Schizosaccharomyces pombe: one gene and its partner. The protein of the gene in region 2 interacts with the protein of the main gene of each other region in a biochemical or structural test. Each region holds a gene or a part of one and is shown on either strand. Other genes may lie near its edges.

Region 1 (6,030 bases), on a different chromosome or scaffold from region 2:
AATAATAGAGAAACCATTTCCTATCATAAATGTTAAACAATAATAATAATACAATCAAACTCTACTGAAGTTTAAGGCGAAGCATATAGAGGCAACTCATTGAGAACTTGACTTACCTGGTTTCCATTTTTTACCAATACTGAAAGCAATTATACTAGATTTATTGCGAGTAACGAAGTATGAATTTCCAGGTTCAATTTTAGATTGCCAATCACTCTTTTCACTGAGGTATTGAAATCCGTGAGACATGTAATGTTCTGCCAAATTTTGTACAGCATGGTACGGAGTAGGGCTTGCATTAACAAAATCCAAAAAATCTAAAGCACAACTTTTTGCAGTGGCAGTCATTTTTCCATGTAATTGCATTTGTGAATTCTTTCGGTTGTTATTGGAATAATACACCATAGTGGTGAGTACAAATCAAGTGACAATACCGTAGGTACTACATGTCGAAACCGGAACGATAAACCCAATAAGGAGTTCACTTGGGTTATTAAAAGCGAGTACGATTTCTAAATGGTTTATAAAATGACTGGGAGATCTGCTTGTATGTAGGTTTTTGAACGATATGAAAACTGAAAGTTATACAAAAATTAACAACCTGCTATTCCATGAACTTAACTAATCTAGCAAATAAATAACCCTAAAAGAAAAGTAAATCGTAAAAAGAAATGAGCGACATCAAAACCACTTAAAAAAGATGCTCGAAAATAAAAAACGAAGAAAAAGAGGGCAACCTAACATAAACAACAAGGCATAACAAATCATGACATCAATGATTTTTCTTTAAAATAAAAATATTTACAGCAGTAATAAATTAGATTTATATTTCGGCTCATATTGATGAAGTATCCTAAAAACATTCAACGATAATTGTTAAGAAATCCCAAATAAGAAAGTATAATTCTAATTACTGGATGCAACGGATATTTCAGATATTTTGCCATCAAGAGCACGCAAAAGAACAACTAAACGGCGTTTAAAAATAGGCGAGAAAAATTCAGACTGCCTTAACAAAGCTTCGCGAGTTAAAGTAAGAACAGGGTGAACTACCGTTTCCACCTTTGGGTCATTAACATCAATGTTCAAACAAATTCTAGAAATGTATTCCATACGCTTCGATAAGCGATCGTCATCAACAGAATCAAGGAGAGAAATATGATAAATAAAAGTAAGAAGCAATAAATTGCTACAATTTTCTAACATTCTATCGTAAGAAATTTCAGACAAAACGTCAAAGCCCGCAACAGAGGGCATGTTACACCACTAGAATAAATTAGAAAATAAAAATCACATTTTATAACTTACCTCAGCAACACATTCTTTCACAGAACCAGCTTTAACATATTCTTTTAGCCTTCTCAGACTTTCAGCAATTCCCTGAGCAGGCTGTTCAGCAGATGAAGGCTCCTGCTTTTCCACGTCCTTTGTAGACGTATCGCTAGACACGGAAACGTTACTTTCCGCAGCAGGTGGATATGATGAAGGTACTACATCAGGTGCTGTCTCTGGTACTTTATTCTCAATCTTCAAATCATTGAACTTTTCAAGCACTGTTTCAACATAGCCTTCAAGCGTTTTAACTTGTTCATTCAATTCGTTATACTTTACCTCAGATTCCTTCTGGGCATGTGCAACATTCTGAATACTATACCTCAGTTGAGCTAGAGATGAAGTCTGCTTATCAAAATCCTCTCGAACAGAATTTTGCAGCTCTGCAATGCTATTCTCAAGAAAAGATTCAATTTTTTCCAAGTTATTTTTGAGAGCATTTCTAACGGAATTCGCAATTTCTTCCTTTAATGCCACTTGCATCGATTTTTCAACCACCGACTCTAGAATTTTACCAGTGTTTTCAGTTAAGGTTGAGGAGACGACTGATAAAATAGCTTCCGTATGTTTTTCGTTTGCAGCCTTATATTCCAAAAGTTGAGATCTTAGGCTTTCATCTGTTTAAAAAATTAGTGAAGTTAACTTAAAAAAAACTTACAATTTTTGTGGACACTTTTTTCTAAGGAAGCAAGGATATTAGAGACAATACTATCCATAGGTATCGCATCAAAAGTTGAAGCACTATATGAAGAAGGTGATAAAACAGATGATGATTTGTCCTTAGTTTCAAATCTCTCGCCTTTGTCCTTCTTTTTCTTAGAAAATCCTGTAGCTTGTGAACGGGGAGTACTGAATCCAGAATTAACAGTTGAAGGAGAAGCAGTGCTATGTCTCTCAGTTAAATCGATTGTGCCACCAATGTCTGCATCATAATTCTGGACGCTCTCGAGCGATCTAACTGTTTTGCCAGTCTTATCTAATATTGAAGTCGGGATAGAATAATATTCATAACCATCTGTATTGCTTACAACAATGCAATACTTATCTTCAGATTCCAAAATTTTGCATGCTGTAAAGCTAATACATGCTGCTTTCTCAAATTTTTTAGCTACAATTACTGAAAACTTTGCATCCGCAGGAACGGGTTCAGATGTGTTTAATGATGCCAATATTAATTCATAGGTTGAATTATAGATTGGTGCTTGTTCGGAGACCGTCTCGTCTTTTGCGAAGAGAAAAAAATAAATACTATTTGATGGAGGATTTCCTACCAGTAAGGTACTGCGCTCATTGTCCACCGAAAATTGAGAAAATGAGGTAGTCGTTGCAGCCGTCGGACGATTATTAAATCGGAAAGTCTGTATATTCCTTTTTGAATAAAGATCAAAAAGTGTTATCAACTGATTCATTACGTATACAATAACCAAATATCTACTATTGTTAGTACCAGGAGTAGAAATAAAACGTAAGTTAATAGGCTTTTCATAATTTTTAGAGGGACCACGCTCCATACGAGTCGTAAAAATAGCAATAGGAGAAACCTCAGAAGGAACAGGTCGTTTGTCAGGTGTTGAAGGGAAAGTAGTAGGAACTGTATATATTTTTATTAAAGCGTCCTTGTCCACGGTAGCAAATACTGTCCCATCATAAGAAAAGTCGTATTCCTTTGCACTAATACCGGTATCAATGAGAAAGCAAGGTAGCTGTTGGATAGCATTAATTGATCTAGGTATGGGAAAAGAAATATTGTTTAATAAGTCCAAATCGAAAAAGATAATGTGCTTACTTAAAGCAACAGCAAAACGAGTTGAAGACTTTGGGTACCAATGGAACCTCGACTTAATAGGATCTGACAGTGACTGAGCACCGGATAGTTGAAAAATGATTTCAGAAGTAGAAGTAGCAATATCAACAGCAAAGATCAACACTTGTCCTGTAGTATCAATAGCCATAAGTCTATTCTTAATAACCGAATCATTTCCCCAGGCTACAGATACAAACTTATTAGGTGAGTTGTTATGGAGAAGAAAAGACTTTCCAGTTGAAATTTCGATGACTCGAATAATCGGCTCGCGATGAACAGCATAAGCAATAAAATCTTCATTGGTGTGAATTAGTTGATTATCTTGAGCGTCGAGCTCACGATTTATAATAGCAATGTCATTTCGTTCGCATTTGGCGAATGTCGACGTTTCAAATTTGTCGGGAGAAATCACAGTCTCCCAAACATAATTACCGGAACCAGGATTGTCAAGTTGATAAATACTCAGCTGTTGCTGTTCTTCTGCTTTGTGCGGTTCTTCCGAGTTACCCGACTCTTGGTAATTGGCAATAGGCGAGCTTGATTGAGAATGCGAGTAATCAGGAGAAGCTACCGAGGTATCAGATGGCATATTCCTTGAAGACTGGAAAGCCGTGTCTTGAGAGTCATTAGATTTTAATTCACCATTAATAGGAGTTTGTGGCCCAGTAGAAGACATCAGTAACCTTTCTAGATTAGCTGCCGATACGGGATTAAAAGGCCTTTCATTAGATGTCGCCTCAGTAGACTCAGAATCACTTCGTTTAACATCTGCGCCAGAGGCAGTCCCAGAAGGTTTCGCACCATCACGAAAAGCCTGAAGAAGTGCGTCAGTACTAGATGAGTGGGATGCATAATATTTTGGTCCTGAATTTGATGGTGACTGGTTTGATGCATTCAGTCCCGCATTCAATAAGCTTAAGAGACTGGAGCGTTGATCATCGACATGAGGTTGCTGAGCAGACAAGGAAGATTCTTTTTTCTCTGGGAATGTAGATTCTACAGCTTCAGATCCATCATGCGATTTTCCAAGATTAGGCAAATTTAAATCTCTTCTAAGAGAATTCAATAGATCTTGCTCATTCATTATAGTTAATTCAGAGCGCTATTTGCGATTTTACGACTTAAAAAAAAGTATTAAAAAAACTACAAAAGCAGCAACATAAACTAACACTCAGTTGGCAAGTTATGTGTCTTTTCAACGGCCGATCTTCTAGCTTAGAATAAAAGGGCAATTCTGTGGTAGGGGAAGTCGACCCTCCTGCTACAATTATGTGAATTGCAAAACGCATCATTCCAGTGACAATGTTACCCAACTTTTTACATTCAACACCAACTTGGCTTTTACTTATTATATCTGCATGCAGTTCATAGTAGCTACAGAAGAAATAAGTTCATAAAATTCATTACTTAATTTAAGTAAGCTTATGTCAAATGAAAGCAATATTTAGGAAATTGAGATTTACTAGCCTTGTAGTATTTATTATTTTAAAACCACACATGCATAACTCTCCCCTTTAACTTATTTCCCCATTTTTCTATTCTTTTTAGTTGTATTTACTAACAACGATTATATCACCAAAACCACATACAAACTTACGATGGTTTACATGAAATGTTAGAGAGCACTTTTTACATTCATTCATAAATTTAAAATAGTAGTGTTCTTGTTTTTCGTAGATAACATATGTCAATCGTTTTCAACATTATGTGAATTTTAAGAAAACAGGTTTCTGAGCCTTGCGTTCCCGCTAAACCTAGAACGTAGACAAGTCGTTTTATTGAGAATGGCCAACAACTTGTATTCTTTTTTCTTGTCTTTAACGTTAGTTTTGAACTATTTTATATCAAGAAAACATAATCTCATGAACTTTACACCTCAATATAAAAATAACATTGTTACTTGGAGAGTGGTCGTATATTTGCCTGACAAGGAGTAAGCAGTCGATTTACCTGCATCCCGCCGTTTGCATGTGTAATCGCTATATCAATACTCTTTTTCAAAATTAATCTTTTTAGAAGCCAAAATACCAACTTTCATTTGTTTTAAGAACACACTCTTTTTATAGACACGTTGTGTGAAGTAGATAGAATTCGCGATGAAATCTACAGTAAAGAAATCAGCTCCTCGTGAGTTTGGCGGTGCCAAAGGTGCATTGGCAATTATGACAGGATTCCCTTGTCTAATGTATTACTTATGGGCATGCTCCAAATTTAATGATTCGCAGTTTATTAAACCAGAATCTTTTACGATAGCAGGATTTCAAAATTTTTTTAGAACGTTAGGCCATTATATCTACGTCGGTGCCTATCCAACACGGTATGCATTCTTGGTTTTTTGGTCGTTTTGTATAGTTCAGGCTGTCATGTACTTAACTCTTCCTGGTGTTCGGACGCAAGGTTTGCCTTTAAAGCATCGCAATAACGAACGTCTTCCTTACTTATGCAATGCTATCTGGTCTTTTTACACGACAATTGTTATTCTTGCCGTTCTTCACGTGACCCACGTATTTCCAATTACTACATTTATCGACATGTTCGGTCCTTTGATGAGCGTTGCAATAATAACCGCTTTTGTCTGTACCTTTGTTTTGTACACTGGAACTTTGCTTTTTGGTGATCGACTTTTTGATAAACCTCATCGGTTATCTGGAAATCCCATCTACGATGCCTTTATGGGAGCTTGCTTGAATCCTCGCCTTGGCAAATTGCTTGATTTTAAAATGTTCTTTGAAGTTCGTATCCCTTGGTTTATCCTATTCTTTATTTCCGTTGGTGCTGCTGTTCGTCAATATGAAACTTATGGCACTGTAAGTCCTCAGGTACTTTTCGTTTGTCTTGGCCATTATTTGTATGCAAACGCGTGCTCGAAGGGAGAGCAGTTGATTGTTCCAACT
Region 2 (6,186 bases):
GAACACGCATGGACTATTTAACGCTGAAAGTGGACCGTATTGATATGTCCAATGTACGTACCCAAAACATACAAGCGAGATCATTGAATTTCCTATTATGGTTGTTCCATTTTAAACGGAACTGACCCCGTCACGAATGAAGAATTGCCTCGGATGCTCAATATAGGTAACGTTGACGCTTTGTCAAGAGATCAGTGTATTCGCTATTTACAAGATTATGGCATGCCGTTTTCTAATAATGAGACAATTGGGTTGAAGGAAGAAGTTGCTTCCGCAATTGGCTTTGTGGCAGGAATGGATACGGATTATGCGTTCACTCCATTTATTCATCAGTTTTAAACTCCCGCGTTTATTCTTCATTGTCATTTATATTTCAAGGAATCATATTTTTGAAATACGTTTCCTGGTCTTTCGTTATATTGGTTTGCATTTTTTTATATTAATTTCGTCTGCCGTACTGGCTGTGTTAAAACATTTAAAGGTTTAAAATGCTTCATCCTTGTATAATTACATATAATTATTCGATGAGATAATTCTGTTTTATTGTATTTTATTTTATTTTATTGTTTACTTGGTATTAACTTAATAATATGTACTGTACGTTGCCTTATTGTATTCTTAAATTTGACGTGAGTGTGTTTTAATGTATACGATAAAATATTATTTGCTCATTTAGAAGCTATATAATTTACACATGCTTTTCATTTGGTCACATATCACGAGTTTTTGGCATTTTCCAGTCATTTCCAATTTGGTTATAACAATCAATATAAATTAAAAGTCAAGATGACATTGAACCAAGTATTGAGAGAGAATTTAAATCACTACTGAATTCACCTTTATGATAAATACCGAACTCCATAGTTTCATATAACGAGCCAACCTTCATTCTAAGGCACACGCTATAACTTGCTCAAGTGGAGTAAAAGTAGATTAATGTATAAAAACTATTATGTTGTCACGAGGGCATTGCTGCAAGTTAAAACATTCATTTAATGGATTAAGAAATGTTGCTTTAAAAAGATTAGTGGGATCAAAAGCTGGATACCGAATGTTTCCTAATTTGATAGAAAAACGGATTCGTAGAATAGATGATGCCTTAGCCGATGGAGAATATGAAAATCTATCCGAAATTCTTAAGTATGATCCACTAAATATTGTAAGCTCAAATATAGGTTTAATCAGCTAATCATTATAAAAATCTATTTGTTTACTAATATGACGAAGATTGAGCTTGTGCAGGAATCCGAATTGAGAGGCAGAGGCCGCTATGGATTTCCAACTGGCGAGAAGATGCTTTCCTTATACAAAGCAACTTCTTCTGAGCGAGGGCGAAAGGAAAAACCAGTGGTCATTGTGAATGCTGCCGAAAATGATATTGGATCCTTTAAAGATAGACTACTTTTACGACACGAACCTCATAAAATTATTGAAGGCGCAATAATTGCAGCAAGGGCCGTCGAAGCATCTGCTTGTTATTTATTTATAAGAAAAGATTACTATGAAGAGACCGTAATGATGCAAAAGTGTATTATCCAAGCTTATGCAAAAAAGCTGTTAGGTAAAAATTTACTTGGCACAAGTATTGGCTTAGAATTACTTATTCATCCTGGTGCTGGTTCATATATTACCGGAGAAGAATCAGCATTGATTCAATCTTTACAAGGGGAATTCCCAGTTCCTGATATCCCTATCAATAACACAATAACAAGTGGGTTATTTGGACTACCGACCCTTGTGTTAAACGTTGAAACTGTTTCTAATTTACCCGCAATTATAAAAAAAGGACCCAAATTTTTTATCTCCATGGGCAGACCAAACAACAGAGGTACGAAACTATTTTCAATATCCGGCGAAGTTAATGAACCAAACGTGATCGAAGCTTGCATGTCCATTCCACTTAAAGATTTAATTGAAAATTATGCAGGAGGTGTACGCGGAGGATGGAATAAACTAGTTGGTATCTTTCCTGGTGGGCCATGTTCCGGTATCCTAAACAAAAATCAATGCGAACAAGTTACAATGGACTTTGATTCCTTAAAGGCCTTAGACTCCTCGTTAGGTACAGGATCTGTAATTGTCTTAAACGATCACGATCAAATATTTGAGTCTCTTCTGAATTTTGCAAAATTTTACTCGACAAATACATGCCATACGTGTCCTGTATGTCGTGATGGTGTCGAAGATGTTATAGAGACATTGAAAGGTTTGAAAGATGGACATGCTCATTTATCACAACTAAAGGATATGTTTTCAAAATTTAACATGCCAAGCTCATCCAAAGTATTTTGCGGATTTGGGGATTCAATGCGCCATCAGATCCATAGTATTCAGAGAAATTTTCCTGATCAGATAACATTTCGAACTAAAGTTACATAAATTATTTTAAATGACTGAAACCATGAATAGAACTAAGAGCCTCATCTTAAAACCATTAAATACATGTGCGTCCTATATAACCATACACCCAACATCGCCATAATTATGTATCTTATCAGTTAGTGCTGGTACATGAGATTTGGGCAAGATACTGGCCGGTTACTTGAGATTCAAGAATTCCTAACTCAGCCCAAGTCTGAGAGCCAGTACCTAAGTTTCCAACAAATACAGAGACACCAGCAGCTTGTTTAACAAGAGCAGCTTGTGCAAGGGTAGTAGTAACAGCCCCTAAAGCCAAAGTCCATTTGGGCAAAATAGCCGTGTTTTTTTTTTGTACCGTGTATCCTGAAGGGATGTCTACCGAAAGTATCAAAACGTTTAAATCATTAGCCCATTGAATAAGAGCGTGGCTGTTTTTGTCTATTGATGGATGGAAACCGGTTAAAACATCGACTACAAGTTCTATAGGAGAAGTCAGTTTGTTAAGAAATTGATCAAAATTTTCAGTAGGGATATATCCGCCAGCAGCTTGAAACATTAAGAGTTGTCTATTATCCACATTAAACGGGGTTAATAGGCGCAATACAACTTTTATACCGATGGCACACAACCGCCTGCCTGCTGCTACAGCTGCAGAAGCATGATCATGAGAACCAACCAGAATACAAACTAAAGGCTGGGAGTTATGATTCCTCGAAGACAATCGTTTATGTCCTCCTAAGACTGAAAAAACAAATTGAGAAAGAAGTTGAGCAGCATTTTCAACAACAATGTCGGTACTCGTTTTTGCGATTGCCAAAGCTATGCCTTGGCTAAGTTGCTCAGGAGTAATAGGCTTCAATATATCACCAGTAGTAGTGTGTAATTCTGCTGGTATATTTTCATCGACGAATGGCTTTTTCTTTAATGTTTCACGGCTGCCTTTCTTAGAACCAGGTGTGACATGTCCATTGCTTGAAGAACTTAAAACAGCATCGATACCATTAATTTGTGAACCAGCTGAAGGAAGATCTACAAATTCGTCTTTAACAGACGGTCCTAAAACATTCTGCTTGTGATGATAATTGCGATTAGGACTTTTGTTATGAGAAACAAGAAGCTTTGCAGGGTCTTTCTTATCTTTCTCCTGATAACTCAATTAGTAAATGCAAAAAAGAATTAGTAAGGTAAATAGAAAAAGATAAACTATCTAACTATTTAACCCCTTTGTCGCTTACACGAAATTCAGCGAAAACTTGTTTTTTGTCAAACTTTTCTAAATTTGCAGCAAAATCAAATTCCTCATCACAATCCATTGACCACTTGTTCTTTGAAGAATAAGTTTCCGCTGATTTCAACTTGGTAGAATTTGTACTCGGAGATTTTGTACCATTTTTGGGCATAATTTCATTTTTTGGCAAAATACGTAAGTCCTTAATGTCTTTTGTGACAATGGATTTTGTTGAATCATTTGCTAGCCTTAATTGCAAAATTGAATTAGAAGAATCGAAATTTGTGATTACTCCTCGCGCTTTACTGTCATTATTTAATAAAACTTCAACATTAGAGCCATAAAAATCAGCTACAGACATATTGAAATATAAAGTGTTTTCAGCGTACGTCGAAAAGACGGTTTTAATCGTGGATGATATGCAAATTTAATCTCACTTTCCTTCAAGTCGATGTACGGTTCGAGCGAAATAGTAAACGTAACTGCACTACATCAATATTGCACTTAGCGATATCAAGCGTAATCGTTAGTGCGTTTTGGGAATATGTTAGTCATAAACACGCTTTTTTAATTTATTGAAGACAAGCTGATATTTAACACCGTAAACATATAACGGTAAAATAATGATACACGTTATATCAATGTGTATAATAAACATTTGAGAATGCCAATTACTCCTGGCAATCTACAGGTTCAAGGATATATGTAAAAAGTTTAATGCATGAATCTAGTAAGTGAAAGGAAAAGGGATAACAGATTCACTTTCCGTTTCACTTCGCTACTTCGCCCGCAATGTCATCTGTATCTTTTTTCATAAACAAACGACAAATCGGTTGAGAAAGCAAAACGTTTGTTAATTCTTTGCTTTCTCTAACTCAACTTTTGCAAATACATTACTGTCTTTTTAAATCATCACAATAAAACAGTCAACCCAGAAAAAAGGATTTATTGATTAAATGGTTAAGGACGAAAGTAAACCGAAAGAGAACATAAGTTAAAAAATTCATTAAAGCCCCCAAAAAGAATAGTTGATAAAACGATTAATGACCAATCCCAGCTTTTTTACAAAGAGCAAAGACATCTCCAACTTCATCCACATTTCCGTGAATGAGTACCGTTGGCTTTCCAGTACCATTTCCAGGATTGGAAACGTTTCCCGTCAGAACTCTTCTTGCGACCCTACTTAAATCGGATGGAGTCAATGCATCAATTTTCTCAATCATTTCCTTGGGAGTAATATAAAGACCATTCTGAGTTTGGATCTGTCTCCCCAAGTCCTCTAGTGAGATCATCCTGCTCTCAAGATTCATTAATAGAGAGCTTTTTAGCTGATTCTTAGCCCGCTCTGTTTCCTCAGAGGTGACAGACAAAACTGTATTACAGAGTTCACGTATTATTAGTGGTGCAGCTAAATGAGCTGCATCATCTAAAATGGTAACAAACATACCGAAAAGACCGCTATCTGTATAGCTATGATTGAAAGCCATACATGTTTCGACCCAAGGATACTGATTTAAAACATTCAAGTACAATCGAGAATACATTCCTTTTCCAGGACCTCCTGCGCTAAATGAACCACCTCCACCTAATAGAAATTGTAAGCATGCCAAAGCATAGATATCCGGATCGGTAACAGGTAATCCTTCCATAGCAATGACAACATGTGTAAACTCCTGTTGGTATGGAACAGGAGGTGCTTCCGATTTTTTAATTCCCATAAAGCCTCCAGTATAATGCGAAGGTATAGCTTCCAGTGGAGGTAGAGAAGAGCTGGGTAAATGTCCGTATAGCTCCTTCGTAATTTCTTTTGCTATTTCTTGAGGAATTCCAGCATACGCCAAAGTAAGGTGTTCCGGTCGGTAAAAATATTTTAAGTATTCCCTAATTGAAGTAGCAGTAATACCGTTGACTTTATCAGGTGTACACAATAGACAATTGCCAAGCGTGTTGTTTTGGAATGCCGTAACGTGAGCAAACTCTCCGAGTAGAGCATCTGGTTTCGTCCACAACTCGGAGTTTTCATATATTATACTATCACGATAATGAACTAGATCATCTTCTTGTATTTTTGGTGCCAAAACGGTTTCTGCTAATAGCTTGGACATTGACTTAACATCATCATTAAAAACAGCTGCTTGGTATATCATGGATTCGCGACTCGTAGAACACATATAGTTACCTCCTAAATTTTCTAGTTTTGCTTTCATTTCTCCAACGGGAGTACGCTCAGTAGCCTGAAACGCAAGCCTATCCATAAAATGGCTCACACCAGAGAATTTTTTTGTTTCGTATCTTGAACCAGCTTTCACATAAACCCCTAAACCAGAAAAGTGCCCTGGTCTTGGATCACAAACATATGTTACACCATTTTTAAGCTTTTCAGTTCGGACCTCGTTTAATGCAGGGTCTTGAGTGCTGTAAAATGATTTTAATGCCGGTGTACATTCTTTTCTAAATAGCCTCCGTTTTAATACCGTTTTGTGCGAAAACCCGATGTTTTTTAGACACTGGTATTCTGATAACATTTTTGGAGTGGTTAGAAAGCTCATCTGTGTACGGTTAATTACTGGACTAAACTAGAGACTTTTTTGACTAAC

The links.
Region 1: the proteins of edc3 (region 2) and pdc1 form a complex in vitro, tested with the Schizosaccharomyces pombe proteins (one study listed by BioGRID).

What each region holds. Positions count from the first base shown.
Region 1 is NC_003424.3:4,827,247-4,833,276, reverse strand, and holds pdc1 (protein pdc1), read right to left. Parts: upstream 4,378-6,030; 5' UTR 4,221-4,377; coding exon 1,991-4,220; exon of another isoform or gene 1,950-1,990; coding exon 1,309-1,949; exon of another isoform or gene 1,267-1,308; coding exon 907-1,266; 3' UTR 804-906; downstream 1-803. Other genes in the region: aspartyl metalloaminopeptidase Ape4, read right to left, coding at 1-20, 117-366; C-24(28) sterol reductase Erg4, read left to right, coding at 5,233-6,030.
Region 2 is NC_003423.3:2,091,899-2,098,084, forward strand, and holds edc3 (mRNA-decapping enhancer Edc3), read right to left. Parts: upstream 4,052-6,186; 5' UTR 3,951-4,051; coding exon 3,597-3,950; exon of another isoform or gene 3,506-3,596; coding exon 2,495-3,505; 3' UTR 2,380-2,494; coding exon of another isoform or gene 1,228-2,379; 3' UTR 1,160-1,227; coding exon of another isoform or gene 953-1,159; 3' UTR 653-952; downstream 1-652. Other genes in the region: SPOM_SPBC18E5.10 (Fe-sulfur cluster assembly protein), read left to right, coding at 953-1,159, 1,228-2,379; putative MPP complex alpha subunit Mas2, read right to left, coding at 4,630-6,114. UniProt on the Schizosaccharomyces pombe protein: Stimulates decapping of both stable and unstable mRNA during mRNA decay. Stimulates decapping presumably by preventing the DCP1-DCP2 decapping complex from adopting an inactive conformation.